Drosophila melanogaster: one gene and its partners. The gene in region 3 interacts genetically with the main gene of each other region. Each region holds a gene or a part of one and is shown on either strand. Other genes may lie near its edges. The genes, in order: sens, cac, TBPH and Rab11.

Evidence for each region.
Region 1: of TBPH (region 3) and sens, changing one suppresses a phenotype caused by changing the other (phenotypic suppression), as found in Drosophila melanogaster (one study listed by BioGRID).
Region 2: of TBPH (region 3) and cac, changing one suppresses a phenotype caused by changing the other (phenotypic suppression), as found in Drosophila melanogaster (2 studies listed by BioGRID).
Region 4: of TBPH (region 3) and Rab11, changing one suppresses a phenotype caused by changing the other (phenotypic suppression), as found in Drosophila melanogaster (one study listed by BioGRID).

What each region holds. Positions count from the first base shown.
Region 1 is NT_037436.4:13,394,711-13,403,887, reverse strand, and holds sens (senseless), read left to right. Parts: upstream 1-2,762; 5' UTR 2,763-2,980; coding exon 2,981-3,140; intron 3,141-3,421; coding exon 3,422-4,503; intron 4,504-6,433; coding exon 6,434-6,584; intron 6,585-6,820; coding exon 6,821-7,053; 3' UTR 7,054-7,660; downstream 7,661-9,177.
Region 2 is NC_004354.4:11,981,307-11,987,887, forward strand, and holds the start of cac (cacophony), read right to left. Parts: upstream 3,782-6,581; 5' UTR 3,589-3,781; coding exon 3,371-3,588; intron 2,610-3,370; exon of another isoform or gene 2,530-2,609; intron 1-2,529. Other genes in the region: gd (gastrulation-defective), read right to left, coding at 4,477-4,990, 5,113-5,664, 5,744-5,900, 5,965-6,124, 6,168-6,380. UniProt on the Drosophila melanogaster protein: Voltage-sensitive calcium channels (VSCC) mediate the entry of calcium ions into excitable cells and are also involved in a variety of calcium-dependent processes, including muscle contraction, neurotransmitter release, gene expression, cell motility, cell division and cell death.
Region 3 is NT_033778.4:23,857,407-23,865,355, reverse strand, and holds TBPH (TAR DNA-binding protein-43 homolog), read left to right. Parts: upstream 1-2,762; 5' UTR 2,763-3,909; coding exon 3,910-4,150; intron 4,151-4,212; coding exon 4,213-4,523; intron 4,524-4,580; coding exon 4,581-4,785; intron 4,786-4,840; coding exon 4,841-5,469; intron 5,470-5,528; coding exon 5,529-5,666; intron 5,667-5,738; coding exon 5,739-5,810; 3' UTR 5,811-6,289; downstream 6,290-7,949. Other genes in the region: Cpes (ceramide phosphoethanolamine synthase), read left to right, coding at 1,008-2,186; bgcn (benign gonial cell neoplasm), read left to right, coding at 6,657-7,949.
Region 4 is NT_033777.3:21,109,276-21,118,087, reverse strand, and holds Rab11 (Rab11), read right to left. Parts: upstream 6,681-8,812; 5' UTR 6,273-6,680; coding exon 6,233-6,272; intron 4,143-6,232; coding exon 4,021-4,142; intron 3,336-4,020; coding exon 2,987-3,335; intron 2,838-2,986; coding exon 2,704-2,837; 3' UTR 1,942-2,703; downstream 1-1,941. Other genes in the region: Bdbt (bride of doubletime), read left to right, coding at 1-164; ppan (peter pan), read right to left, coding at 233-492, 544-971, 1,028-1,392, 1,455-1,784; rtet (tetracycline resistance), read right to left, coding at 7,381-7,472, 7,531-7,836, 7,894-8,069, 8,363-8,436, 8,500-8,812.

The DNA of each region.
Region 1 (9,177 bases), on a different chromosome or scaffold from region 3:
GTTATGGCCATTCACCAAGTCAACGTGACCATTCATCATGGGGGTTTTCATTGGGCCAATCCAACATCTATCTAACGGTCCAAACGGCCCACACACCTCCGATGTTCGCCAGAAGCAGAAACTCACCTCGCCACGAGCTGGCTCACATACACAGGCGCAAACCCGTTCCGTGTAGGTGTTACCCGCCCTCTCGGCGTTCTGCTGGCCAATCAGCGAGCGGCTGGCCGAGAGCCACGAGCCAAGTGCAAAGGCATTTTCGAATTTCCGAGCGGCAGAGTGTGGGATTTGCTCAAACGCAGGGGCACGCTGAGGGTGTCGTAAATAAAATGTCGCCGACATGAAAAAACAGAGAATGGAAATTATATACGACTCTCGAACTTGTGATGCATTGCAATGCACTACAAAAAATAATGATTGATAATTCAAAATGCATTCAAGACTTTTGGTATCAATCGTGATAATATTTATTACAAAATTCTAGTTTTGAAGCTTATTAAACACGTACTTTCAATTTTAGAATTTTGCTTTTACATTTGTCTGTCTTAAATAGAATTATCCTATTTCGAAGTAATGGATATTAAAACTAAATAGCACCAACTTATTTACATGTTTGTTGCGGTAATCTATAATAGATTTCGGTTTAAAGTAAAAGCCTTTTCAATAAATTTCTCAGTGCTGCATTCCTAGCTGCATTAAGCGGATTCTATATGCAGGAATATTGTAATTTTCAAAACAGTATTTCTCTCAGTGTACCGCATATCAAACGATGATAGATGTGTGAGCGGCATACGGTGAATCCGTTACAAAGCGGCAGGGGATGAGCACGCGCCCTCAGTTCTCCAGATAAACAATATGTATGGGAACGCCGCCAAGCGCAACGATGCCACCAACTTGACTTGGCCAGCCCTCATCGCGGTCGAAATGGTAGAAGCCAGAGTTCCCCCATTTTGGCCCGCTTTTAGGCCGCGTGCCTCGTACCGCTTCGCTAGATCGGCGGCACCCGTGGCGGACACGAGTGCGATGGAATTTCGGTGTCGCCTCAACTCTGCACATGTCCTGCCATGGAAATTGCGCCAAAAACTAGGGGATGGGAACTAAAATTGCTGACAAGGAAAAGGATCGTTAAATGTGGAAGTGTAAGTGTGCGCCCGCCACATTTTCTTGGCTCGTTTTCTAGGCAGGTGTGGCCCGCGCCAAGGATAGATAAACTGGAATTGAGGCGGCCAAGACGAGGTGGCCAAGCGTGGCGAGCTACCAACTCAGGAGGAGGACCCCGAACTCTCATCAAGGATAAGCTCGGAAAAAGGTGCATCGAGCGGTAGAGGGAGAAAGTGGCAGGTGCTCAGTCGTCCTATCTGAGTGGTTTAATAGCTACGATCCAACGAGAAGATGGGGACTTTATGGCTTAGAGTTTGGTATTGGTTTTAAATTGACTGACAAAAGAATTCAGTCTTTTAATTTTATTGAAATGCTTTAGGAAAATACGACGAACTGCAAAGTTTGCATTGAGAAATTTAACAAAAACTTTGTTGAAAGTTAATGTTCTGAAACCAAACCAAACTATTTGTTAAAACGGTTTTAAATGGGAAATCTGATATTTTGATAGCTATTAAATAAAATCTGTCCTAATCTTATGTATTTAAATGTAACATTATTATAATCAAATATGTCATTTTGGTAAGGTAGATTTTATATAGAAATATAACAAAAAAAATTCTACAATAATTTAAATAAAGTTTATATATTTGTGCATTGGTTGTGAAGTAGGTTTACGTCAATCCTCTAAAATGTAATAACACTTTTTATGGATGAAGTCTAAAGCTTAAAGATTAAATTCACGATGTTGCTTTAAACTATTTACCCTTATTGGGAGAAGCGCAAATAAAAATGAATTTAAACTTAATTTCTCCTATATTTTACTCGCAATGTATTTTTAATAATTAATACAAAAATTAATTTTCATCACATTCAAAATTAGGAACCCATTTGTAATCCTTGTCAAATCTAAAGGTAATCTAAACAGTATCTACAAACATGGAGAGTTGCCACGACAGATGTTAGATCCTTGGATTCATCCACCTAAATATTTGTATGCTACCCCGCCCCATCCCGCCCTCGTCCTCTCCCCCCTTCCACCGATCAGCAGTGAAATCCTCTGCCGATTGCTGGCCCTCTCTCGCTTCTTCTCCCTTGGCCAAAGTACCGATCCCGATATTCCTGAGCCAACAACAGTTGGTGGCAGCAACAGAAAGAGCAAAGGCAATTGTAACTGTTACAGGGCAGCGGGAAAAGGATAACAAACGCCCGCCAAACTTTAAGTGCATACCAATTAGTAGGGAAACGCGTGCTGGAAAACCAGTAGTAGATGGGCCAAGAGGATACGAACGCAGGGGGTTGGGGTATCGAGATCGCCAGGGGACTCCTAACTGTGCGTCTTGACCCATACAACATGGAACACAGGACTGCAACTGCCGCCAACTGCTGCCAAAGGTGAAAAACCAGAGTTGGCAACACGAACACCAACACCAACAATACATTGCAGGGCTCTCGAGAGCCACCACCAAAAGAGTCAACACCAATACACCGAGGGCTCGTTTTGATTCGGCTTGCTGCCGCACTCACACAGTGCCACAAGTAACCACAGTCGCACACAAAAATAAAAAAAAGAGAGCTCGATTTGTACCTTTTTTTCGGGCCAAGTCGCTTCACCGTTGGCTCAATTTAGAACTGAGCCATCGACCAAAGATTCAGTCAGGTGCGAAGCACCGAGCGATACGGACGTGTTCGTCTCCAGTGAGTCAAGATAAAACCGCACTGAATAAGACCCATCGAAGATCCGTTCGAATCCAAGATCACAACGCCAAGAAAGTGAGATTTGTGCAGTGAACAGTATTGAGAAAAATCACAATCCAAAGACTGTTAAAGCAAATACGTAAATCAGATCCAGTGAGATTCCAAAAAGTAAAGATCCAGAATCAAAATGAATCACCTATCGCCGCCGCCATCGCCGCACTCCCAGCAGCCGAGTCCCGCGGGATTGGGCTGCCATGGAGCAGCTCTGGACAAGCAGTGGATGCAGCGGGCATCCGCCTTCAACACTGTGATAGCCTCCGCCGCAGCACAGAAACTCAATGGTCGAGGTGAGTTCCCGATCTGGATTGACAGAAAAATATATGGGGCAGTAAAGATAGCAAAAAGATTAGCTTATAGCTTTTTAATCGTTTCGAATTGTATTTAAAAGATCACTCGATTTAAAATCAAAATGTTAACACTTTCAACAGATCAGAAAAATTATGTTAACTTTACTGTAGTTCTTACCAATACAAGAGTAACTTTATATTGATAGGCATCCTGAGGATACTTTTCCTTCCTAATCTTAATCACTACTATTCAACTGATTCGTTAAATTTGCATTTCATAGATCTGCCCTTTTTGTACAACCCGCTGCTCTACTCGAGTGCCCTACTGTGGCCCCAATTTTTGTTGTCCTCGGCCACGGCTCTGGGTACACCACTGACCCCCATGACCCCCAAATCGCCCGCCTCTGTGGTTTTGGGTCAGCGGGATCGTGACTTTGCCTTGACGCCCGAAAAGGAGCATGAACTCCAAATGAACAATAACAATGAGAACAGCAAGCAGGACTATCAGGAGCAGGATGAGGATATGCCACTAAATCTAAGCACCAAGGAGCGCATCACATCGGATGATTCCAACCGAGATCAGTATCACAGCAGCAGCAACAACAGCAGCAGGAGCAGTTCCAGCAGTGAAGTGGAGCAACTGCATCCGATGACCTCGCTGAACGTTACCCCGCCTCCCCTGAGCGCTGTGAATCTAAAGAGTTCGAGTACACCACAGCAACAGCGCCAGAGATCGCAGGGTAACATCATCTGGTCACCGGCCTCGATGTGCGAGAGATCGGCGAGAAGGGAGCAGTACGGCCTGAAGATGGAGGAGCAGGGCGATGAGGAGGAGCACCAGGTGGATCCTATTGTGCGAAAGTTCAAGTATGAGCGCAGAACTGCATCCATATCCTCGCTGCAATCGCCGATCTCCTCGCTGTCCGCTCCCGCCTCGAATGCCGTCCAGGATCTGGAGTTCGAGGTGGCCCAACAGCAGTTGTATGCCCATCGCAGCGCATTCATGGCCGGATTGACGGGCAACAATCTGGAGCTGCTCACCCAGCACTTGAAGCTGAAGAGCGAGCAGCCGCAGCAGCAGCAGCAACAGCATCGCATCAAGGACGAGCAGCAGCAGGATAACCGCTCGGCAGCGGCACTCATGAATTTGGTGGCAGCCGCCGAATTCGGCTACATGCGTAATCAACACCAACAGCCGCAGCAGCAGCAGCAACAACAGTTGCATCACCAGCAGCAGCCGCAGCAACATCAGCATCAGCAGCAACATCCTGACTCGACGGCCACAGATGTTGCGCGTCGTTCGTCCTCCTCGTCATCTTACCAAGGAGAAAACGAAGAGAAGCGCAGCGGCAGGAATTTCCAGGTAAGCAAACTCAAACAGGATAAACGCGTCGAGGGGTAGGGAAATATGAAGAGGAAATCGAGGGCAAATCGCTTGAAAATCTCTGAGCCCCCAGCCCGCTTTAATGGGCTTATCACGTGTCCTGAAGGACCATGATCTATAACCCAAAACGAATACTGTTCGTATCATTGCATAAGGTTGCGTGTCCTCGACAATTCCCCTGTGTTAATTGTTTCATATTTTGTCCGTGCGGGTTTTAATTGTCGCCGAGCCGAAAACCCCACCAATACCACTTTCAATTTGGAAAAGTGGCACAGCAAATACTGTCATAAAGTTGGTAATACAAGCCAAACCGATAGAGCTCTATGGAAATTCAATTAAGTCCCATCGAAATCACGCAATTAGTTAATCAAATAATTTTGATTAGCGCCAGTGCGGTGGGGGGCATAACTCGCCCTCGAAGATTTATGTACAAATTACAATCATAATAATTCGATATTGGATTGTGCAAAAGGTAAGAGGGCACACGACCCTCAGGAATTTGAGACGACTTACCCTAATAGGCCTTATGCCTACCCCGATGTCATATTGCGTTTATATCCATCAACACCCGCCGCGAGTCCTTATTTTTTTTTTTTTTAACATCTTTTTCCAGTTTTTTTTTCACACATTAAAGGGTCAGAGTGAAATGCGATAGGTTTTCGGGCTTCAGTACCGGACCGACATATGGTCAAAAAGCCGACGAAGACAGTTGCCAGAGTCCTTTGCGCAGGCGCAGTCACTGTTCTTCAGCTGTTTATGTATAAAATCGAATTTTTTCTGTAATTCGTGCTTTACATCTGTTCACCATTGGAGGCCCACCCGGCTGACTCAGACTTTGGGGTTTCTCCTTAACTCTTTTTTTGTTTCCCTGCTCGTTTTTTCTTTTTTTTTTTGCCTTTCGAGCTTTGCCAACTTCCGTTCCGTTGTCAGAGCTAAGCAAATTGACATTATGGCTCAGGCAGTTGAGCGCAGCTTAACAATAGAGCAACTAATTGGGTCTGAGTCTAGCCAATGTGTGTAGTGGATATGGTCCACGCGAATGCAATGCGCAAATAGAAAATCCCAAAAACAAGGCTAAAAAAAAACGTAAAAAATAAAAAAATAAGAGAACATAAAAATCAATAAGAAAGAAATTTTAAAAAACCGACACTTGTGTCAATTTACAATTACGCGTAGACCATGCGGGTTTTTCAAAAAAAAAATTGTCTCACATTTTTTTCACCCATTTCTGTGTTTTACTTTTCGTTGTTTTCATGTTTTCGTGTTTAATATAAATGTCGCCCACGTAGGCCGACGATTTGAGTTGTGTTATGTCAATGTTTGGTTACTTGCAACGTTGCTGCAACTGGCAAACTGTTCAAACATTTAATCTGACAACCGAAGATGTTACAGCCACTGGATTCGTCCAATCCCCGCGATCGATTCCCCGTGGATCCCAGCTGTGTTTGGCCCACAAATACTGCGGTATATACAATGTATGTACATATATGCATGGCTAAAGCTCCCTGGAAAGTGTCTCACTTGAGATTTAGCATTGGGCCGAGATATTTACCTAGCTGGTTTCAGCGCTGAGAAATGGCTAAGGTTCTAGATTATTTGTCGCCTGGATGTGGGCTAACCAAGTTTGGCTTGGTTTGGGTTTTCCCTTGTCGTCACTTGTCTAACAAATATTTGAGCACTCACAAATCTAGTTTAATTCATGTTGCCACTGCGAATTTGGCTCAGGCACACAAAAACGGTGAATTTATATATAAATTCTTTTCTGATTTTTTGATTATTTGGCTTTTTGGTGTGAATATGCTCAAGCTGTGCAAATATGGGGTATTCTGAGTTCCAATAATCATGACTCGTTCTGTCTGAATGTGGTGTTAATAATGTATTTTTCTATTGTCTATGTCTTTCTTTTTAGTGCAAACAGTGTGGCAAGAGCTTCAAGCGTTCGTCCACCCTGTCCACACATCTGCTCATCCACAGCGATACACGGCCATATCCCTGCCAATATTGTGGCAAGCGGTTCCACCAAAAGTCGGACATGAAAAAGCACACGTACATACATACCGGTAAGTTGAATATTCGGTGAAATCAAAGCTAGTCCATGGGGAGAGTATCCAACTATTCCTCGGCAAATGTGTCAGAACGTGGTGCAAACAGAGCCACCCTTGAGCACACACACAGATCCCTATCGCCTTTCAATTTGTCTAATTGCTGTAAAGCTGCCGCCGCCTCTCGGCCACAATTAATAAACTTTGAAGCGGCATTTAACTAATTGTGTTTATTGATTTTCCTGCGATTCCAGGCGAGAAGCCACACAAGTGCACCGTGTGCCTGAAGGCCTTCAGCCAGAGCTCCAACCTGATCACGCATATGAGGAAGCACACGGGGTATAAACCCTTCGGTTGCCACCTTTGCGATCAGTCCTTCCAGCGCAAGGTGGATCTGCGACGTCATCGAGAGAGCCGCCATGAGGAGGCTCCGCCAGTGGAGGACCTGAAGCCCCTGAAGATGGAGGTGAGCAGCAGCAGCTGCTGACCGAGGCTAGGCGGCAATCTCTGATCCAGGAGATCCCAGTATTAGCTAAGCAGGACGAGACACACACTCAAAACCAGATGATGATGATGATGATGATGATGATGAAGGTGGAGCAGATCACAGTTGGCCCTAAGTCTAAGTCGTTGCTATGAAGCCAAAGTTTGTTTTGTTTAGGCCTTCGCAAAGATTTACCTAATCGTAAGAATTATTGTTAAAACATATTAGCTAAGATACTGCCTTAAGTCTGTACATAGTTATCCCAAACAAGACTCTTTTTTATAGCCGTTAAACCCTAGCTTAATGATTAATCTAATTTATTGCATAAAGCGTTTTTGATTTGATTCAAACTTAACCCAAAATTGGCAGCTAAACGTACCAAAGAACAACCTCAAACAAATGAACTACCACTTGGCGACCACTTGTCTAAATTTAGTTTCCTAATTTATTTAAGTTTATTGATGGCATCACCCACATTTATTTATACGATCTATGCGAATTTTTAGTTTATTCTTATTTTGTAATAAGCCCAATGACTTATTGTAATTATATTTATTAGGAGCGTATATGATTTTTGGAAAATAAAGTTGAAAGCTAAAAGAGAACAAACAAAATATATGGGTTTTTTTAAGGATAAAATATCTAGAATGATTGATTGATTCCTTTATACAAAATCCTCAGGCATATCAGAAAATACACATGATATGATTAATACATATGTATATATTTTTGGTATGTATTATTAATTCAAAAAGTTTTTACATCGGGTGGGTTAAATATCTCATTATTACGATCAACCCCTTGAGCAGCTGAGAAATTCCTTAGTATCAAGGACACAGCCTCCTCCTTTGAAGTACCACATTTTGATACAAATTGTCCAAAGCGCTCCAAATATTTTTTCGGGGGCCTGTTCGTAAACCTGATTTTATAGATGAATTTCTGCACGTACTCAATTGATGGGGAATAAGTTGCTCCTGTTTCGGGTGACGCGGTGATCTTTGATCTGTGCCCAATGTGGCATTTGGGGAATGCCCTTTGTAAGTCGCCGCGTTACAGCAGGTACACATCCCCCTCGGCCCACTTGCATGCCCGATCCTTGGGGAAAACGCCAATAAGTGTTCGAAGTTCGAACTAATTGCTGACGAAATAAAGTGAGAAATGGGGCTGGCGGGGATCGAGAAGGGGGGGGGGGGCATGGAGCAATGGTCATTGAGGACTGCTGATCGCAATTTTCGGTAATCGAAATGTCCGAATGCATTTTGCGGCACTTTAAAACGCCCGAAATGAAGTTTGGCAGTTTACAAATCACCGACTTCCCTCATTATCGCCATTCATCGGCAGTCGCAATCAGAAATCGACCAAATCAGCGAGCCCCATCCGCAGGATTTTATTTGGGGCCACTTTCTGCAGCCAAACTCGATCGTCGGGTTGTTCTTGGTCTTCTTTGACTTTGGCACGCCACAAATTGATCGAAATTGACAAAATATTGAAAAAAAAGAAAACCGGGCAGGGGAGAGAGAAATATGCAGTTCAATTGTTGCCGAAGAAAAATGCAGTTCAAGGACTTTACGCCAAGTGCCGACAAAGTGGGGATCAAAAGTCAAAGAATGTAGATGCTGATCATTATACTATTGAGTTGGCATTTGGCCAGGTGGATTGCGAAACTCAAGGTCGGACGTTTTATCAAATTTAGTACTTTGAAAGTGACTCGCAAGTTCTGTGCAAATATGACTTTCATTGAAGATATTGATATTGAAGTGAAAAGTCAATAAAAGAGAAGGTAAATCCGTAAAATCAGAAGCATAAGTGCATAGATTTTTAATCACGAATATTAATACTTTGCTTAATGAACTGTGCATATACTTTATATATACCTCAAATCGCTGAAAGTACAAGAAGCAGCTTAGCATTAGTTTGCACTCCATAATGCAAACTCGATAAGATACAGATACAGATACACATAGGTCGCAGCCATATGCTGGAGTTTCTCCGCAGCGCTGACTCTCGGTTTATTAACCCCTTTTCCGCATAACACCTGAGCCCACATAATTTGTCATGCCGTTTGGAATTTATTCAACAGTCGGGCAAGCCCCCATGGAAACAAAGGAGAGAGCTATGGAAAATGTG
Region 2 (6,581 bases), on a different chromosome or scaffold from region 3:
GCTTTGCGTTAGCTTTGAGTGTTTCGATGTTGTGCTACTTATTTTGCCAACCGATAATTATGATGCGCTCGGGTCAATTCAGTTCATGACCTATTGAAAACATGCTCATACACTCGCGCACGAACATATACATACATATGGATTGGATGGGAATGGGCATGGGCATGGGTATGGGAATGTGGTTACTCAGGTGCATGCCAAGTGCATGGCTGGTGTTATTTTTGTATCCAATATGTGGTGTATCTGTAGAGAAGCTGATCCACAACATTTCGGACTGGCAATGGCTATGGACACGGTCTGCAGATAGATGTGGTTATTTCGGTTATTGGTATAAAATTCCATTACTGGAACACGCCATGAATGAAAAACGTTAGGGGATGAAAAAGTCAGAGGCTGAGAGACTGGCACACATACAAATGCATGTGTATGGAACACCAAAAAAAAAAAAAGCTCAATACACTCGCACACACACATACACGGGCTGTGGTGAGTTGTGAAACGGTGAGATTCTGAATTCCGACTGGAAGAATTCTGAAAACTTGTTTACCTTTTACGGAGTATTCTTGAATTGACAAACTAGCCCATAAGGCAGTGAAACTACGAACAAGGTTTTATCTTTACAGTTATTTGCAGATCAATCAAATGTTTTGATTTACGGGGCTGATAACAAGAATTGGCATTTGCAAATTTCAACTCTCTCCATTCCATCCACACACACACACATATACACACGTACCGGCAGAAGCTCTCTCCCCCTCTCTCTCTCACTCTTTCTCTTTGGTTTCAACAATCACTGGGTCACACCGATAACGATAACATCGCAACCACAAATCGCTTGCCTACTTTTAAGGGCCCAGTAAATCTGGTTGCATTTGCATTTAAATTAACTATTGCCCTATTTTGAATAGTTCATTTTCAATTGCGCAAAGCAATGTCTTTTCTTTAAAAGCAATTCTTGTTATTTATTGCAATTGTATAGTTCCAGCTCTATTTTCCCTAGTGACGTCACCAGGCACAGTTGTCTGAAATTTTTTTTTTTTTTATGTTGACGATGTCTTTCGGAACGATTTTGGGTTTTTGGAATGGGCAGAAGCTATATATATCTGTGTGTCTAACTACAATCGGGCCACAGTGAGACCAACGAACCTGTAATTGCCAAAAATAAACAGCAACAATGACACACTTGCCATCGTTGCCCCCTCTAAACTAACGCTTTTTGTTATTTCTTTTTTTCTGGAAACTGTTACACTTTTAATTGGGCTTAAAGAACCAACTAACTGAAATTTGATATGTCGTTATAAGTTTAGTTACAGAGCACACGACTACCACAATATTTGTTCATATGCTCGCATTCAATTCCCCATACGAGTATTCATATGAGCATTGTTAAAAGAACAGAGACAAACAAATTTTTCACTTCCGTGAAGAGAGGAGAACCATCATTAGAATTCGTTTCCGGTATGGAAAACATATACATGTGTAGATTTGTATGTGTGTGTGTGGGTTGGGGAATTTACGACTAGTAAATATTTGTGTGGACTGAGAATATAGTTAATTTAAATATTAATTTGGGGGGTGCTTCCTGCTACATCGCCGCAATTCATTCACCTCGAAAGTGCGTGTACACGTCACAAAAATAAACGATATACCGATAGGCTAAAAAACACCCGAAAACTCCATATCTCCTTTTCCTTCTCCTTCAGCTTTAGCTTTGGCTTTAGCTTTTCCTTTCGCCTTTGCTTTTCCACTTGCCTCTTGCCACATCCACTTCCACTTCCATCCACCGCAATATATAGCACCACCGACGCAACATTCCGCCCGTTGTGCTACCGACCCGCTGACCCAATCCCAACAACTATGTATATATATATGGCTATACATATATATGTATATGTATATGTATATGTATATGGATATGTATATTCGTGCGGGTGTGTTGGTGTGTGTGTGGTGCGTTCGTGGGGCTTGTTAACTTTAACTTTTACAACTGGTTTTTAAGGATAGCTTCGGTAATTGGGATTTGAAACGAACGCATATATATATGTATATGAATGTGGCTAAAAATAAAAATTAGATCTGGTTGCCTGGAGGAGCACAATCAGAGGTCGTTTATTGGCTTCAGTAAGCCCGAATAATGCTTTTCACTTGGTTTCCCGATATCTTTTCTTGCTATTTTTGCTGTCCTCGCCGCCATTGTCGCCAATTCGACGTTTTGCCATTGGGTTTTTCACGATTTTTCACGATTTTCACGCTTTTCCGACTATATTTCTTGTTCTTGGTTTGGATGTTTGTAGTGTTATTTTCACCACTCGACCCGAATTCGGATGCCAGCGCACACAACATTCGAAATGTGGAATTTTCACAGCACTTTTAACCCCGCATTGCGAGTGATTTTCACTTGATTTCTTTAACGCCAGGCTTCTGTATTCAGCCACATTTTAGTTGTCGCACATTTGCTGTTAAATTGACTGGGTCCCGAGTTAAAAATAAAAAACAAAAACCGCTTCTACGGGAGCTGTCACCACCGACTTTGTCTCACCAGTTGGACGAAAAACTCAACAAAACGCAAGACTTCAACTCGGCGACTTTGTATCACATACTACCACATCGCCAGGGTCCAAACACACGCACAAAGGGCAAAAATATGGGGAAAAAAATCTACCAGCCCTGCGCTCTGCATCCGCCCGAAAGCTCTGGTCCAAGCTTCAGTTCAAGCTCAATCGGACAATCGGAGGTGGACACACTGGCCAGCCAGTGCGGAGGAGAGCGCATGCGTGTCCTCCAAGGAAACCCGCTCCTAGGACCGTTACAGTCGTCGATTGAGCTTTAAGCTCCGCTTGCTCTTCACCCCTTGGGAACAAAACTATCGAACTTTCGAGAAATCGCGGTTTTAAAATCCGGGCTTAAATCATACTGCTAAAGTTTAAAAAAAAAGCGAAGCGACGAAGTTTAAGCTACTTACCCATTCTAAGAGTTTTTTTTTTAATTGATTTAAGTAATTGATTTACTACTGCCACAATTGTTGATAAAGCTTTAAGCTTTAAGAATACTTTCAACCCCTTGTAGTAAAAACTTTTGCATCAAGATATCGGTTATTTGAAAACCCGGCTTTAACCGAATTACAAATGATCAAAGGCGCTCTCATACTTGACCTAATTAATTAATATATAAAACAAACAACATATTTTACTCTATTTCAGACTTAATTTTATCTCTGTACATTTCAATAACCCTCGTCAATTACCTTTGCATACTATCTTTAATAATAATGAATTTTTACCAATTTTCAATACTTTTCTAAATATCAATTGATCTTTTAAAATAATGTTAAGTTTAAATAATTTATATTTAAATTGGTAGTGGTACTCACATTAGGTCGCCTAGATTCGGTCGCGTCTGGACAAGAGCAAAACTTTCCGGAGCCCGGCGCCTTTTGTTAGACCCTTGCGAGCCGTAGTGCGTGCTCCGCCGGATGACGCCATCGCCGATGATGGCAATATTGTCATCCAGACCGTTGATGTTGCTAATGGTCAATCGCGCCATAGGAGATGAGCCCCTTCGGCGACGAGCTCCCACTCCGCCCAGCATTCTGGGAATCGATGAATCGAACTTTGCAATACGCGAAATGTACTCCAAATATTGCCATTTCTGTAATATATTCACTACCAACTATCGGGCACGTTCACAATACAATGCGTTGCACTTGTTTGGGGATCTTCAACGATTGCGAATGTCCGTAGACGACGGGCCCAGAGCCCCAGGTGTGATGCACCAGCTGCCACGGTCCGGACGGAACTGATAGTCGATGGCTACGACTGCTGTCGATGCCCCAACAACCCAGCAAGATAGATAACGGCCCAGATGGCGATGACGACGATTGCGGCTGATGACGTGCGATGACGTGCTTGATAGTAGTCAGCATTTGCGCAGTACAGTGTCTGCCGCTGGTAATTAGGGTGTCCAGGTGTCCATGGGTGAACGCCGCTCAGACGGGCCAGGCCGCCCACTCCGGCATATTAGCAGCTTCCTTTGTTCACGAGCGCCAACAACACACTGATAACAAAGGCATGGTAAACGTTACTGTATTACAATTAATTTCGATATCAAACATACCTGTGATTCTTTCAACATACACGTTTTCTATATGTGGTCAGAGGAATTTAAACATTGCAAATTTCGAGATTTTTAATGTTAATATTATGGTGGAGATCTAAAAGCGCAGCGATTCTATGGGAAAATTCCTTTTTGGCTTTCCCGTGCCATAATTTATTATTTGAATTGCCCTACTGTCTTAGATAAAAATAAAACTGAAATGCCATAATCAGAAGTTTTCGTAATGAAACTAGCAAAAAAAAAAAAAGAAAAAACCGATAACCGCTAATTACTCCGAGTAACTTTTGCCCATCGCCATGCCCAAGGGGCTATTATCACAGCGCTCACTTAGAAATGCGTTCCCATACACATTTCGGATGTGATTCAAATTACAAAGGCCGTGATCCAGTCCAGAAACTTGGCCACGTCGGCATATATAATGTACTGATTCTTACAGCAAAGCTTATGGCTAGATTCCGCATCCGGTGTCTCTACGGCGGGCAGGGCCGCTGATACTGTGCCACGCAGCATCCAGCGATTGTTCCGGCGGATGAAAAGTCCGGCCCCCGATATACCGGTGTAAATGCTCGCCCCGCTCTGATGCGTATCTCGTTCCTCCGCCTGGATGCCGGCGCAAAACGTTCGGTTTGAGGATAGGCTGCGAAAGTGGGCATTGGCTCGAAAGCATTCGGCATTGCCGACAATGGGAGCCTTTACTACCTTGGGTGCACTGGCATCGGTGGACTTCTTGCCCGGTAGCTCCGACGACAGCTTCTGATCCCGCGTCCTGTTCGTTCTGTCAAAGCTCCAGCCGATGACGATGCCCCGCTCGCCCACAATGTACTCCGTTTTGCTGGAACCAGACCACAGGCAAGCGGGTCGAATAAAGGTGTTAAATCTGCGTTGAAAATAATGGTATACTGTCAATATAATAAATGATCTTCATATTCGATTTCACATCGCGGTTTAGATATGAATCTAAATCTTGAATATGTAAGCTTTAGGCATATTGGCACCCACCGAACTTCGTCCTTGAGTATAATCACTGCGATATCCGCATCGTAGCTGCTCAGCTGACTGTTAAAGTCGGGATGAATGTAAATGCCATCGACGGGGGCCGCCAGAGATCCCTCCTCGTTCCAGTTCTTCAGATTGTGGCGGCCCAGAAAGACGAGCACCTCGTTGGATGTGTAGCGCTTGTTGAACAACTTGAAGCAGTGCGCCGAGCTGATTACAACGCGTGCCGAGACAAGCGAACCGCCGCACTGAAAGTCCAGGGAGGTCAGGTTGTTCACATAGATGGCCGCTAGCCAAGGCCACGATCCCCTGGTGATCGATGGCAGGCTATCGGCGCTATCGCTTTCTATCGCTTCTGCTTCTGATTCGTCCACAAACTGATGCTCCAGGACATCGTCTTCATCGTCATCGACAAAAACTGGCGATGTGATGCCATCGGAGCTCTTTGGTTCACCGATTGCGACATGAAGTGATTCCGTTCTTTGGGACAAGTGAAAGTCCAGATCCCTGTCGATGCGTCCGCAAATCTCCTTGGGCGCCTGGGCAAAGGGTTTTCTACAAAAGCGGACATTAAGTAACGAATGAATGTCACGATCGTGTGTGTGTTTTAACCGACCAAAATCCGGATGCATACTTCTTGAACTGGATGTGCGGCGTACTGGGCGGCTTGTCGTCGGTTTTTCTCACCTCCTCCTCCTCGGGATCTAGCAGCAGGGAGCTCTTCTTATCCGGTATAAAGGACAACTTCCTAATGTGCTCCAACTGGATTTGGGTCATGAAGATGCTGTGCTCTGTGGTGCGGGCAAACAAGTCATGGATTAAATCGTTTGCTACCCAAGTTCCGTGGATACGCACCGCCGGATCCGAAGCAGATCACATGATTGTTGGCTGACATGAGGAGCAGTTTGGGCGGGAAGTGATGTTTGGGAAAGCGGATCTTATACAGCACCGGTGCATTGTGGGTAAACTTGCCGCGTGTGAGTAGCTCGATTTCGCCCAGATAGTTCTGTGTGTACTAAGGGGATTAGGTAACATCTGGATGACAATATACCACTTACCGTGGTGGGCTTGCCACGCATCGAGAGCGTAACTCGTATGTGGAGCGGCTGGTGGCCATCCGGACTGCGCACGGCCATCAGGCCGAACCATTCGCTGCCGTCGAAGCGGTACTGAAACACCTTGGGGCACGGACTGATCGGCATTCCCTGGGCGACTGCCTTGGTTACGTGCTCGATGCAGAGGATCAGGATCGCCGCCAGGTGCAGCCTCATCGCTAGTGTCTGGGAATGCCCGGGATGAAAATGCTTTTCACTCAAAACAAACGTAAACAATGCCGCAATTTCGATCGAAGCTTTAACAGTCCGGGAACACTGTGTGCATTTTATCCACCAACAGAGTTGCCAGACCAAGAAAGTAACCCCTGTTAATTAAAATGAGAGAGGGGAAATTGATCCTTTAAATTCTCAATTCCG
Region 3 (7,949 bases):
CGACGCTGGCCACACTGGTCGGCCATTAATTTACGAAATTTACGAACAATTAACATAAACTTTTACATTTATCCGTGTGTTTTAGCAATAACTATCTATCTATGTGCTATTGTTGACTACGTCTAAGTGCCACAGTGTCTGCAGGCTGCAACTCCAACAAGTTGCTCGCATTACCCCATCGCAGTAATAAATACTGCAATGTTTTGATACAGTCTATATTCGTTTTCAATGATTCAGCAAGGCGGTGAGTGCCAATTCCCCCAACGCAATGGCCGCAGCTATCACCCATATCACCTATATCACTTCGATCGCCAATTCCAGCCCATAAATGGTTCCATTACCATATGCCCACTTATCAGGGAGCACCCCTCCACCAACACACGCACGCCCAATGAGTGTGTGTGTGTGTGCTGTGTGTGTGATGGATTGCTGCGTGCACGCACACTCCTGCAGCCAATTAGAAGCCCCGTTAATCGGCATTGGCAGTTAAAAGGTTACTAATAGCGCCTATAATTCCCAGTGCCTCGCCAAAAGCTTCCGCAAATACCTGCAGATAGTGGAACAGATAGTGCGCTGCTTCGGCTGGGCGGGCTGAGGTGGGGTGTGTGTGTGTATGTGTGGGTGCCCAAGTGGGCTGATTTAGTCATCCAGTACCAGTAACTGACCATATTGCTCTATTCTCCCCGCCTCTTTCGTCACTGCGGTCGCTCCCCAAAGTGTCAAAAATTCCTTCGATAAGAACGCATTGCCAGTGGTTAGTTGTTAGCTTTCACTCTTTGATAGCTGAGCATTATTATGATCGCATATACGATTTCAGAATTTCAGAAGGGGATTTCAAAACCCTGCATGTTGCTTGCCAAACTTTTTATGCCGTGCGCGGCTTATCTTGACAACTACTTCGCTTCGATAAACCATATTGATCAGCTTCACTTCTTTCCGCCCCACAGCTGCGCCCTGAAATCAGCCCGATAAGAACTTAGTGTTAAGCGCTACCTCAAAGTGTCACCATGATCGGACCCAGTTCGCAGATCAGCAAGATCCTGCTCACCCTGCTGTTCCTGCTGATCATCTTCTACGTTTTCATGGACGTGGAGCTCTACCTGCGCATCCACAACTATGCCATCGAGAGGAACTATCACACGAATGTCTCGCTGCCCGCCTCCGTCGTGGGTCCGTCCACCTCGGAGTCCGGGTCCGGCAGCATCGGTGGTAGCAGCAGCAGCAGCAGCAGCAGTAGCAGCAGCACCAGTACGAAACTACCCACCGCCGGCGACCGGCAGCCGTCCTACGAGGACCACACCTGGATATCCTGTGATATAAATCCGCTTTGCCATGTGACCGTGAAGGCCATTCTGTTGGACCACACCAACCACTACCTGTTCGCCCCGCTGGCCACCATGTTCGACAACGTGATCGGCTTCTCGCGCTCCACCTTCATCACGCCCAACATGATATCGTTTTTCCATGTGGGCGTGGCCTGTCTGGCGGGCAAACTGGTGGCCTCGGACAGCCTGGGCTATCGGCGGCTGGGCGTGCTGCTCTTCCAGATCCGCACCTTCCTGGACGACCTGGACGGGCATGTGGCGCGCGTGCGCAAGCACATACGCGGCGAGCGCTCGGAGATCGGCACCTCCGGCTACTATGTGGACGGCCTGTGCGACGGACTCGGCTGCATTGCGCTGCTGCTGGGCATATTCTTTTACCTGAAGAACAATCCACCGCGGAGGGGCTACTCGATCATACCCATGAGCGACTCCAAGCTGCCGGAGCCCACCATGATGATACCGAAGATGAAGGCCACCACGCGCAAGGTGGCCAAGAACGTGATCAGCTTCACGGGCCAGCTGCTGCTGAGCTCGACGGCGTGGAATCGCTACATTGCCGTCTACCAGAACATGCTGGAGCGCGAGGACGTGAGCGGCAACCAGTCGCATTGCCAGGATTACGTGTTCAAGTCGACCTGGTTCTTCTGCGTCGCCTGGATGTGGCGCATCGTCAACGTGCACGCCCTGCTGCACTGCGTCCTGCTGAGCATCTTCTGCGACAAGCTGTGGGACTTCCTGCGCGCGATCCGGTACAGCGGTTACATTATCCTGTTAGTTGCTATATGTTTAACTGAAATGCACATTCTGGAGGCCCAGAACTACATTTTCAACTCTACGGCGTGCAGTAATATTTCACTGTGATTTTACTAATATTACGAGAAAATACAATAATATTTGTGTAGTGCAAATCAGCGATGCCTTTTTTAATTGTGTATAAATAATAATGTATCATAATTGTTAGCCAATCATTAATATTTCGAAACCAACTAATGCATTTTGTCATTCAAGCGCGGTCTGCAAGAGCAATCGAAACTCCTTCAGCTGTAAATAATAAATGTTATTGATTAATAAAGTCTAGCTGTTTTTATCGTACGCATTTCCATGGCGAGCTAATTTCGTTTGAATTTATTTATAATGTTTTGTGTTTCGAAATTTCAAATGAACACGATGCGCAATGCTGCCAAGTTTTTTTTTGGTATAGCTGATGGGCAGCACTGCAAGGTTTGGTATTTTATTCGACAGTACCAAATGCCAATATAATTGCCATATTGTAATGTAATATATTGCTTAGATATTCATAGTGGCAATCAACGCTCATATAGTTTAATAAAGAGGCTATTAAAATTTATGTGACAATGCACTGTTTTAACTAAAAATAATACACTTTTAGTATATCTACCCGCCGGCTGGTATTTCTCACTAGCCCTGTTCGGCCACACTGCGCATACGTCAGGCGATACATACAAAGGAAAAGAAAATCAAAACGGAAAGCGAGAAGAAATGCTTCACTCGTCGTTTGAAAATTTGTTAAGCTGTCAATTGTAAATATTACCTGATTCCTATTTCGCACCGATTGAAAGTGGTTGTGCATCGAAGCGTGTGTTGTGTCAAGAACCGAGCGTGGAACGTACAGTGAATACCTGATTTTGCCTGGGTGTGAATCGAATTCGTGTGAGAGAGCGTGCGATCTGAGATCTGGGATCAGAAATCTATATCTACTTGCCATACGCAGTCAGAAATTACAGCAACCAACTAATCCCTGTCAATAGTGTAAGAATTGTTGTGTAACCAACCATCTTTTAGGACCGCCAAACTGCCTCCGTCTACACATTATGTCCTCCCCTCGACGATTGCGTTTGTGTGCGTGTGTGTGTGTGCCACACACTTGCACTCACACACAGACGACAGGATTGGATATTTTCAATTTATGTGGCTTTCATTCATTGATTTTCCAATTCCTGCCGCGATTCCACACTCACAAACGTCAGTTTACTCGTATTAAGTGGGTGAAATATCTGTTTTCTTGAGTAGTTCAAAACATATACATATGTATGCCATACATCGTAAACTTGGGATTGGGTATTCTTCTTTTGTTTATTAACTAAATGTACGTAGAATAGGCATTTAGCCGATGGTGGGACATAAGTAGCGTCTGATTCAGAGAATTTTTAACTAATAATAACGTAAAGAAACGCCTAAACATGAACACTAATAATATATGAATATGTTTGTAATACTTACTAAAATTATATCATCGAAATTACAAGAGATAGAAACATTGTTTATTTGTCGTTTTTAGTAGATTGACCTAGTGTAGGATCCTTTTTGTTTTGGCTTGGTCCCACGAGCAATGTGTGTATAGAGTGGTTCGGGGCAACCTTTTTGTGTTGAATATTGTACCTTGGGATGCATCTGAATAGAACGGATGAACTGAGTGAGTGCATTCATGAATGCAGCGATGCAGAATATGTGGGATGCTTCCGTTGACTGAATGACATGGTGGATCATTTCTAGAGCGAAGTGTGAGCCCCTGCGGCGATAGAGTTCTTTAATCCCCTCCTCGTTTCTAGCAGCCTTCTAGGAAATGGATTTCGTTCAAGTGTCGGAGGAGGAGGGCGACGAGCCCATCGAGCTGCCGGCTGAGGAGGATGGCACTCTGCTTCTGTCCACACTGCAAGCTCAGTTCCCTGGATCCTGCGGTCTGAAGTACCGCAACCTGGACACGAAGGCTGTGCGCGGAGTTCGCTCCAACGAGGGCAGACTGTTTCCGCCCAGCGTGGAGTCCGGCTGGGGCGAGTACGCTTACTTTTGCGTCTTTCCCAAGGGTAAATTCGAGTTGTATGACTCCCTGTTGAACCTTAAATAATTCTGTAATCCCCCCCTGCAGAGAACAAGCGCAAGAGCGACGATAACTTGGAGAACTCAACTGCCAAGACCAAACGCATCGAGACCCGTCTGCGCTGCACTGATCTCATCGTGCTCGGCTTGCCGTGGAAGACCACAGAGGAGAGCTTGCGTGAGTACTTCGAGACCTACGGCGAGGTGCTGATGGCCCAGATCAAGAAGGACACCAAGTCGGGCCAGTCCAAGGGCTTCGGTTTCGTGCGCTTCGGCTCTTACGATGCCCAGATGCGCGTGCTCACCAATCGCCATCTGATCGACGGTCGCTGGTGCGAGGTTAAGGTGCCCAACTCGAAGGTAAGTCCTCTTGTTAGCCCTGCAATTTCACGCCTACTAATCCTTCTATTCTCATAGGGCATGGGCCACCAGGTGCCTTGCAAGGTGTTCGTGGGCCGCTGCACCGAGGACATTAACTCGGACGACTTGCGCGAGTATTTCTCCAAGTTTGGCGAAGTCACTGATGTGTTCATTCCCCGGCCCTTCAGGGCCTTTAGCTTTGTAACCTTCCTTGATCCCGACGTGGCACAGTCCCTGTGCGGAGAGGATCACATTATCAAGGGTGAGTCACTGCCGCGTGGAGAAGAATCAGGGAATTAATGAGACACTTTCCACAGGCGTTTCGGTCCATGTGTCGAATGCTGCTCCAAAGGCCGAGCAGAACAGAAACCAACAGGTCCAGAGCTACAACTACAACTCTGCCAACAGCTTTGGCATGCACTCATACCACCCACAGGGTAACCACATGAATCCGGGCCGCAACGGACACCACCGAGGTAATAACCAACACAATGCTCACGGCGGTGAGAACGCAATTGTGCCCAATAATCACAACATTGGCACCGCCGGCTACGGCATGGGTGGCAACAATTACGGCGGCAACTCGGGCGGGGGCTACCACAACAATGGCGGCAATCACTCCAGTGGCGGGAACACGAACCGCCAGGACGGCGGCAGCCAGTACAACAGTCGCCAGTCGAATTTTCACGGAATGAACCAGCCGCATAACGGCAACGTGGGCGGCAGCAACGGCTGGATGAACCGTGGCCACCTGGACATGCCCAACCTGCAGGCCCTGGGCATCAACTCGCAGGGATCGAGCTCCTCCAACCAGGGCCAAAACATGAGCAACCAGTCAATGCTCAATCTCAACTCATTGCCCATCAATCCCGCACTGGTCGCTGCCGCCTTGAACCAGTGGAGCCTGGTCGGCAACCAGCTGCAGAACCAAAACCAGGACCAACAGGCAAGCCTTCACACCTCAATCATTGTTTCAAACAAAAAACTCTCTCACTTGCTCCGCAGGGCGGCAATTTTCTATCTTGGATGGCTCAGAACGGGGGCCACAACAATGCCAACAACTTTGGTGGACGGAAGGGGCCGAATAACCCGAACAACAATCCGGCCGCCAACGGAATAAAGACCGACAACTCGGAGCCACAGGTTAGAGTCAAAACTGAAACCATCCCCTAAGAAACCTGGATCCCAGCCAGAATCTATTCTACTCTATTCCAGAATGGGAACACCGGTTGGTCGAACCAGAGCAGCGGATCTCAAAACGCCGCGGAGAAGTCAAACTTTCTTTAAGGCGGTGCCTGTCACCCAATGATGTGGTTAATGTGGTTAACCAACACCTCTGTAGCTTACTTAAATTTACATATATGTATTCCACATACAAACCAGTTAAGAATTGTATTTAATATGTAATAGATATTTTGATAATTGTAAACAAGATGACACTGGATGGCTAATAACACAATTGATAAAACACACTTCAAAATAAATTCTGCGCCAAAGCTCAGTAAAAATTGTATCATTGTATCACTTAAGTAGAATTTGATTTGTATTTTGTTGTTTATTAAATATATTTTGGCTTACGCTAAGAAAGTTTAGTTATAAAGATTGTGCACTTATAATGCTGGATCTGCGGAGAATTTCCAATATAACAAAGTTTTCTTTAAGATATCTAAACGAATTTGGCGCAGCCTCATTTTAGAGGAGAATTCATTTAACATGTACATTCATTTCAAAAAATAAAGAATGCAAAAGCATATTAGTACAAAGTGAATCATTTCATTTGAATGGAATCTATGGGATTGTGAATTGAATATTTTAATATATTCCTGTAAAGGAAACTCTCCCGTCTTGGAAACTTATCTCTTATTCTTTGAAAATAACAAAGTATGTTTTATAATTCAGTTTGTAATGACACCTGGATCTTTTTTTTTTACAAATTTCCACTACACATTTGTTTGAGTATATGCAAGGAATACCCTTAATGAGCAAGCTTTGCGCCAGCGAAAATACAGCCCTGTGTTCCATTCCGCCATTTTTCTATTTTCACGACGGTGGCAATAACGGAACTTGCAATTGCCGCGCGCATTGCGGCGCACTTCACTTAATTTAGTGTCAATCTGTTTGAAGCTAGCAGAAATGAACCACATCATCCAGGACAAGTACATTCCGCAACAGCTGCTCTACTTCTTGGCGGGACGGCGCTGCTGCCAGCAGTTCCCGTGCACATTCCGCACCAGCGAGCACGAAGCATTCGCCAACAACGCCCGCTCCTTGGGGCTGCGATCGCAGGTGGTCCATGTCAACGGGAATAGCTGCGTGAAGGTGTACAAGCAGGCATGTCGCCACTACCTGGAGGAGCCCAAGACGCTGGTTTTGTCCTCGGGCGCTACGCTGAACATGTTTACGCTGCTGAGCAGGAAGTCCTTGATGGGCAAGGAGGATTTGGAGCTTTACGCGGACCTCGTCTCCATGAAGGCCAATGCCTCGGACCTACCGTCACTGCATCTGCCGCTGCCCGCCATACGTCCTCCTAACCTGCGCTTCTGGACGGAGGCGCAGCTGAATTTCCTGACTGCTTTTCTGGGTCACTCGCTGAGCGACGAGATCTTGCAGTCATTGTACGCCAGTCGGGTGATCGTCTATAACGCTGCGCTTTGCTGGGACAAGTCCGTCTTCCTGCCCCTGGTCATTCTGGACGATTGCCGGAACAAGAAGTCCAACGTCAAGATTATGTGCATCGAGCGGCAGGCCATTCTGGCCACCTACAACAGCCAGCGAACGGCCAACTTCTTCGGCGAGCAGCTGGGCGAGACGGTGGGCATCCAGTTGCCGTACTTCAGCGCCGTTAGCTCCAGCACTTTTATTATTTACTCGACGGCGCAGTACTTTTTGCGCTCGCTGACCAGCCAGCAGTTTCGCAACATCAGTCACCTGGTGGTGAACGATGTCCACCTGCATGATCCCTACACCGACATCCTGTTGAGCGAGATACGCATGGCGCTAAGTAGCCATCAGAACCTGAGGGTGGTGCTGCTGTCGCAAATGGGAAACCCCAAGAAGTTCACCGACTTCTTTGGCGAGGGATTGCAACTGAATATGATTAAGCAGCCGGAGGTCGCACCACGTGTCTCCTACTTGAACGAGCTGCACAGCTGCATTGCCCTGGCCGGCATCCACAAGGGTCCGGACATCTACAAGGAGATTCCGGAGGCTTTTCGCGCCAACAATCCGCGCAACGAGCAGATGGACAAGTGCCTGCAGGCCTACGGAGAGTTGGGCACGGACGCCGCCCTACGTCCCTTCCTGTACGCCGTAAACTACGACCTGGCTCCCGTAAACTACCGCCACTCGCTGACCGGCAAAACGGCGGTGCACTTCGCCTCCGAACTGAACAAGGCCAATCATCTGCGCCTGCTGCTCTTCATGGGC
Region 4 (8,812 bases), on a different chromosome or scaffold from region 3:
CCTACTATCACCTGAAGGAGTTCGCCAAGGCGCAAGCCACCATCGAGCGAATGCCCAACTACGAGGAGAAGCGAGAGTTCAGCAAGCTGCGCGACAACATCGCTGTTAGCTGGAAGGATAGCAAGGCCCATTACAAGGAGGTGGTGCAACGTATGTTTAGTTAGTTCCCATTGATAACATTGCGATGTCGTGTTAACCAATGGTCTTTATAAAATAGCTTATGTTAAATGTACTACTTTGATTTTCTACTCTTTCTGTGGTCAAACTTGGCGCGCTTGTTTTTGGGATCGAACTTGGCTCTCCTGTTCTTGGGGTCGAATTTGTCCTTCTTGTCCTTGCGATCGAACTTGTCCTTACGATCGTACTTGTCCGTGCGCTCAGATTTGTCATTCTTGTCCTTGGTATCCAGTTTAGCGCGCTTGTTCTTGTATTTCATTCCGCCGCCCAAACTAGGCCGCTTTCGGGAGGACTTCGCTTCCATTTTGAACAGTTCTGCAAAGGAAACATTAGTTTATATTCTACGCAGCATGTAGCACAACTCACCTTCGTCTGGTTCCTCGCCGACTTCCTCCTTGTAGTACTCTGCATCATCCTCGGGATCGCTGTCAGTCCGTCCCTCTGCCGCCCTCTTGGCAGCCCATTTTTCATCCTTCTTAAGCTTCAAGTTGCGGGCACGGTTCTCTGCCTGCTCCTTCTTGCGCTGCTCCTTCTGCTTTCGCTTCTTTTCGACCAGCTTGCGCAGGGTTTCCTTTTCGTCCTCTGTCTTGACCACATGGTCGTGATACAGTACTTCGCCCGTCAGAAGGCCCTCTTCTATTTTGATGAGCTGCATGGTTAGTCGAGGTCCGATCTCGTGTAGCTTTATGGAGCTCTTTTTGTCCTCCAAGTTGCCCTTGCTTTTAAGAGTCTGTGCCAGCACCACATGTGATTGCTCATCATCTTCGGCCTCTGATTCGGAGGCATAGCCGTCCCTGAAAATCAATATTATGATTATTTGATGGAATGAGAACAAACGGTCATTTCCTACTTGGTCACAAAGTCCACGACTTCGTTGCACTTGCCCAGATTGGGTACCGTTCCTTTGACGATTTTCTGGACCGCCCGCTTTAAGCCAACCGGCACCACCTGCACGGAGTAGTGCCGCATCTCGACCAGCTTCGTGTCCGGATTGTAGGAGAACAGGACGCAGCGACGAATGGTGCCGATATTAACCGTGGCCAAGTTAATTGAGGGGAACATGTTTTGGAACGTGGTGGCCATCAGCTTAAGGTGCTTGCCATCGCCACTGAAGTTGTTCATGATGACGAGCGGAGCGTGCTTGAAGTGATCGTTGTCAATCATCTGCTTTTTGCTTAGCGAGATCACATCTCTGGCCAGGGTGAACTGGTGAACCTGACAGAGAATAACTTCGCGGTAAAATATCCAGTATAAACTAAGCGATGAAACAAACAAACCTTGAAAGTCAGGGAAGGACCGCGCGGCAAGCGGACCACTTTGAAGGACAGCTGCGTGGAGGCCTTGTTGAAGATGCCCATGTGCGAGACGTGGAAGAAGCTGCTCAGGCTGACAAAGTCCTTGATGCGGTTCATCCGCTTCTCGCGCAGATTGCTGGCCGTAAAGGGCTCCATAATGCGGCGGAAGTCCAGGGTGAGGTCCGTGATGTACGGACAGGCGAGGCCGCGATGGATGACGAAGGAGTGCGGCGCCTCCACGATCTCGCTCGGCTCGCTGGCCTTGAAGGCCGCCGTGCGCGTCTTCGGATGCACTTTCTTCTTACCGCCCATGTTTCAATGTTTTTGTTCACTTTTCTCCCGCACGTGTATGGATCAGTGTGGCTGCTCGCGCGGAAAATACCAAACACCCACTCCGACGTCTGCCTTTGGTCACTCTAATCCCATTTTAAATTTCGATTTTCCGCCCAATTGAAAGCACTTCTGTTTTATTTAAATTATATTTATTTAATCACACTTAACATAGCAAACACAAATGATGTTATTTCGTTTCATTTATGCATTTAAAGTTTTACAACTGTTTTTGTTTGATTTCTCTTTATCAGCTAGTTTTACCAAGTGGCCAATCGTTTAAAATGTTGCGAGAAACCGAAGAAGAAAATCCGAGCTGCAGTGCTGTGGTAATGAATTTGCGTTTAAGTCGAAGAATTTCCGGTTGTTTGTTGTTGTTCTGCTCGCGAAATTACAACTATATATTTATGTTGCGAAAAATTAATAATATTAATATTTTAATATTAGCATATATGTATATTTATATAAATTATAGTTCTACAGCTTAAACTGAATTTGGAGTGTTTAGTTTTGCTTGCTTTCTTTCCGCGGCGGTCGATTTATGCGATACTCATGGATCTGTATATATATAAAACTTCAGTTTAAACCGCAGTTAACTACAGCCGGATGTTGTTGCTTTCGATTCTTTTGCTGCTGCTGCTGCTTCTGATGATGGTGGTGGTGTTGGTGGTGGAGAGTGGCGGCTCAGATTTGAATTATCAATTTATGCGCACATGACAAACTGTGGCTGACAAACGCATAGACATCTTGTGCGGTCCATCGGGTGTACGCTGCTCCTGATCTTGGTGTTGCAGTTCTGGCCGCTGCTGCTCCTCTTGTAGTCGTAGTTGTAATTGCTGTTGCTTCTGTTTATGTTGCTGTTCTGGCGGTTGCGGGGAATAGCGAAAATTGCTTGGGGCGGTCACTGACAGCACTGTTTGCGCACATCGGCGGTGACAGTCGGCTTTACGTCGATGGGCTCCACGTTCGACGGGCGGATGACGTCGCCTTCCGGCGGATCTCTGATCTGTTTCTGCGACACAATGCGATAGATCTCTGAAACGGGATTACGAGACATCATTAGTCGTGCTTCGTTATCATTAATCTATTGACTTTCAATGAAGCGTTTAATCTACAGTATTTAAATATTCTTAAACGATCGATAATTTGAAAGCAGACTAGCTAAAATATCCTGAACGACCCACCTGTGAGTATGTTCTGGAATGCCGTTTCAACGTTCGTTGAGTCGAGGGCCGAGGTTTCTATGAAACTCAAGCCGTTGCGCTCGGCAAACAGCTTCGCCTCGTCCGTGGGCACGGAGCGCAAGTGCCGCAAGTCGGACTTGTTGCCCACCAGCATGATGACGATGTTCTGGTCGGCATGGTCGCGCAATTCCCGCAGCCACCGCTCCACGTTCTCGTAGGTCAGATGCTTGGCAATGTCATAGACGAGCAGGGCCCCCACGGCACCGCGGTAGTAGGCAGAGGTGATGGCGCGATAACGCTCCTGGCCGGCCGTATCCCAGATTTGCGCTTTAATTGTTTTGCCATCGACCTGCGTTGGATGCACAAGAAGGATGAAACAAAGGACAGCATTAGAATGGTGCCAGTAATTGGCAATTTCGCCACGAAATGCCTGCGGCGCATTCGCTTTGAAAATTAATATACAAGCACTGGCATTCAGTATTCACACATAACCAACATAAATTAGAGCTTATGGATAAGCTTTTAACTCTAGTAAGAGAACCCAATTTTTGAAATTTCTTACACTAGTTAGAAAAAACGCAAGTAGCGTAAGTTATATTCATTGAACCCATTTGATATACTAAATATTAAGATGACCTACTAAGCTACTTCGAAAAGATGGCACAAAGTATTGTTTAACACAAATCCTTATACATACGTAATATATAATTGTTATTGACCACATAAATTTATTATTTCAGCACAAGTGACAACTATGATGTCAACATTTTGGCTAATCCCGTAGGATGGCTTTTGAAATTATGCAAGAAAGCCAATTGGCAATCCATTATTTAGTGAAATTCTCGACACTTACTCAAATTGAACAAACTTTTCCCCCCAATTTTCCGATAGACGCCTCAACTACGTGTCCTCCCACCGAAACGCACACGCAAGTTCACCCGTGACTTCCCCCACTGTGGGTGCGGTGCGGTAGATGTGTGGGGGTGGAGCTCCATGGGCCACTCCACCCTCGAATTCTTGGCCAGCGTACTCACCTCTATGCTGCGCGTTGCAAACTCAACGCCAATCGTCGACTTGGACTCCAAGTTGAATTCATTGCGCGTGAAACGTGAGAGCAAATTACTTTTGCCAACACCGGAGTCACCGATAAGGACAACTGCAAAGGATTAGAGGGAATTAGTGACATCGACATTGGCATTGGATAATCGAAGACCCCCAGTTGCATAATTTATGTGGGTGTGTGGTGTGGCGTGGCGTGGCATGGCCCCTGTCTTGTGTTTTACGGCCGGACAGAATGGTCGCTGGTGGCCCGGCTAGGTCATGTCCTCCTTTCGCCGCTGGCACGGCGCACCAAGGTCAGCGAGTACATAAAACCGCCATGCTCGGGGGATTTCAGGCCATGGAAAGAAATGTTTTATGATTGGGCCAGTCGACGTTAGGGAGTTCGTGTTATTGTGCTTCATTGCCGATAGCAAACATTTCTTGGATAATTGAGTGGCGGATATTTGAGGGAGCAAACAAGCATCCCAAGTTGATATGCTACCCGATAAAAACTATCCACTGACCTTTTTACGACTCCATTTCTTTTTGATAAACTTTCTTATGTGCGGCCAGAGTTGTTGGCTATAATATATATTAACTGATATCTAGACACTGTGTTTACTGACTGTCTGTCTATTAGTTTCCATTTTTGACACCCTTTTCGGACATTGTTGATTCAGCATGTTTGCTAATCCATTCAGAAAACAACAACTATAACTCATCAAACACCTTTTCGCTCTATCGCTATGGTCATCGCTGCACGGAGAAAATTCAAATAGTAAAATGGTATCATATGAACACTGATTCTTGAGTTCGAAGTTTCGATTGCAATGCCATTAAGATAGGAACTAAATATTTGAAACGACTTTTGAGCTAAGTCCAAGTTTTTGACTTAATTTAGATAGCTAAATTAGAGGGTATAGGGTTTTCTTTCAGTGTGGACAGCTGGGAGCAGCGTGGTTACAGTTATCAGCGAGAGAGCTGAGTCACTTTGTTTTCTACTCTCTTTCTCAGCGCTAATAACGATCTTTAAAGAGAAATTGCACTTAGTTAAGCGGATGCGATGAGAAATTAAAAGGGGAGGAGTGGTAATCGACGGTCATTACTTAGTAGTGGGATTGGCTCGAATAACCCGAAACGGCCCATTTTCAGTTATGTGATTATGCGCTTATCGGTGAGTGGAATTCTTCAGCAGTTATTGGCTGTGAGTCATGTCCGTTTAATATTGTTTCATGTGTGAAATTTGAGGCCTCATCATGCATACCGCACACTGACGCATTATTATGATGACTTTTTTTTTAACTTTTTGTATACTTGACCCAAAAAATACGGCAGATTAAGTTTTAAATATTTTTTTAATGACATTCAACAGTTGCTCAGCTGTGATAGCTAGCAGAGATTTCCAAGCGCAATTGGAATTTATGGCGTAGTAGCAAACGAAGGGAACAAAGAAGAGCTGAGAATTTGTGACCTCTGTTCATACATATCTACACATAAACGGGGGAAGATGCGGGATAAAAGTCTTGTTTTCTACCTGCAAATACATCATTTTGCTCTACTGTGCTTCAAACTTTCAATCGAGAGCGGGTGAAAAAGAGAGCGCGCGTGAGAGAGAGCTACTAAACGAAGTTACAAGAAACCATTGCAAAAGCCAGCTGTACAGAAATCATAATACCCACACTCTCGCTCTATTTACTGGATATCTAATCACTTTAGCATTTCGAGTGGGTGGGCAAGCCTTAAACCTACTTTACAGAGCGAGCGATTATAAATACGATCTGCTTGGCTTTTGTATGCAACGTGGCGAGACCAACGGCACTGTAATGACAAAACAAGCAGTTAACGGCAAAGTACGCGTACTCCAGTCCGAAAGAGTACCCCAAAGAGATGGAGATAGGCAGAGTGAGAGCGGGAGAGCCACCAAAGGGCATCCAACTGCAGCAGTAGCAACAACAACAAACTCGGGGGGCGTACTTCTTATTTTGGGAATTAATGACACTCACGCAAACAAACACACCACATACCATCACATGAACTTTGGGCTCTTCGAGTGCACTTTTTGTTATTCTCCAATTAGTTTCAATTAGTGCTATTGAACCACTGTCTCTCACGGCAGGGAGAGGAGAGCCTGGAAGTGCGGCTCCTCCCCTCCTGATCAACCTTCCGCGATCTTCGACCAGCGGCTAGTATCATGTTTATAATTACCTTTGAACAGATAATCGTACTCGTCTTCTCTTGCACCCATTTTGCTCAATTTGTTTTGCTATCGCTCGCTCGGTTCGATATCCTTTGGAAATCCAGTTCCGTCCTTTTTGTTTTGTGTGTGCGGGTGCTAAACGAAATCCAATAATCCCTGCGCGCCGCCGATTTCTTTAATGCGTTTGTCGTCGGCTCACACACTTTACACTTTTATTTGCAGTTGTAGTTGTAAAGAAAGAGAAAAGTGTATATATCAGTATTTAAGTGGCGAAATCGGTTGCTCTTCCAGCTCGGATGCGTTCGAAAATGCTGGCAGGACTTTTCCGGCAATTGGAGCAGTATTAATTGGAGATTTGCAGCTGCTTGCAGCGCATTTATTTGCAATTTTCTCTTACACGAAAACTTAGTCACTCCCAATAACGTCACGTTATATTTCCAACGAGACTAGAGATGTTGAAAAATATCGGTACATCGACATTATTTCGGCGATACTTATCGATTTTCTTAATGGCGATGTAAGGCGATAGTACAATGTCACTTCTATTTTTGTTTATATGAACATTGTTTTATACTCAAAAGCTTTAGAATTAGAATTAAATTTTTTCATAATTAAAACACATTAGGTCTAGAAAATAAATCTAATGTTTGTTTCCTATTTAAAAAACTTATTTGTTTTATTTTAAAACACCAACATACTTATATCATTATCGATGTTTTCACATCGACTTGCATCACTAAATTAACGAGATGGATGTTTTAGAGTTACCAGACGGTACGACGAATTATCATGAACTGCTCTCGTTTCATCCCGACAAGCCTATCGTATTTTAAAAAAGCTGAACACATTTTCTAGGGATTATCCCTAGCCCATTTAACTTATTTCCAACTCAAAATGTCTTGAATACTTAAAACGTTCCAACCTAAACAGAATCGTTCTCCCAGTAGCAGTAACTGTTTCTAATATTATCTTATTAAAAAAATTAATTAAATAGAAAACATTTCGATCCCAAGTAAAAACCCCCTGCTTACAAATCAGAGTAAAAATGTGTTTATTTTAATATAAAATACTTGTAAAAAACGATAAATTAAGTATAATGTGCAGCTAATACTTCCGTTGATCTCTAGTGAGTTTAAAAACTCTATTCCTATTGCACTTAAATGCGAGCGCGTTGCAAGGCCATGGCTGGATAAATGAGCAGAAGTCCGCCGGCTATATAGGTGATCCTGGAGCCAACGCACCAGAAGGCTATTAAGGATTAAAGAGTTTAGAAAAGGTATAATCCTAAGACAGCTGAGGAGCTCACCAATGCATCCCACCACGGGGCCCAGAGCTCGAGCCAAAGCTCCCAGTGAGCGGAATATGCCCAGTACTGAACCCTTCTGGTCATCGTTTCCGTATTTGGATACGAGGGTGGTCAGACAGGTGACAGCGAAGGCTGTGGAGATTGCGAACAGGGTCATGCCGGCGTACAGCATCCGACTGCCCTCGGCTAGGCCGACTACTACGAAGGCGGGTACAATCAGGTACAAACTGAAGATGGCATAGCCTTTGATCTTCGCCTCGGGCAGCCGTCGGACCACCGATCCCTGCAGCAAAGTCATGATTACACCTAGAAAAAGACACAAATTTGATAGGGAATATTGTAGATTATCAACTTGCTCCATACCCGTTGTCAAAAACATCTTCGCCTGATCCATCGAAGTGTAACCGAATTTGTGGTACATCAGAAATGTGACGGTGAACTCCAAGCCGGAATACAGAAAGAGATACAAGAAGTATACCAGGCCAATGGATCGCAGTGCCGCAATGTCTTTCTTAGGCACATTTTTGATGGCAGCAAATCTGTCAGTGGGAGAATTCTTTTGAAATATGATTGTAAAATCCAGACATAATCATTGGTAATAATCTTCTAGCTAACTGGACTCAATTCCCTGTAACTACAATTAATCAAAAGCAATCTAGAATTTACTAACTGATAAGGCAATCAAACAAACGTGTCCGAGAACCCGGCATGATAATAGTGTCTATCAAACCAGTCAGGCAAGTCCGGGTGGCTTGCAGTTCTCACCGTATGACGATTTCGATTTGATCACACGACAGGTTTTCGAGACATGCTAATTAAAACATTGAATTACCTAAATATGGCCGAAAAATTGAGCAACTGCAGGCCATAAGACAGTGCAGATGATATCTCCTTAACACGTTTCTCCTGCGAAAAGGTCAAACAATTAATGGTGTTGGGAATATATTTAATTTAGCCAACCGTACGCACCTTGGGCAACGTTTCCCGCAGACAGCAGGCCAGGACCACAAGATCTCCAACTGCCAGGCCAAACGCCAGCAGAGAGGGCAACACAAACCAAGTACTTCCACTTTTATCGGAGAATATGGCGAACAGGGCTCCAATCATGGGCCCCACAATAAAGCCCAGCGAGAAGGCCACACCCACAAGGGCCATACCGCGTCCACGGGTCTTAACGCTGGACACATCCGTAATGACGGACATGCACAGGGATATGTTGCCCTTGCTAATTCCGCCCACGAAGCGGGCCAAAACGAACAGGGCAAAGTTGCTGGAGCAGGCC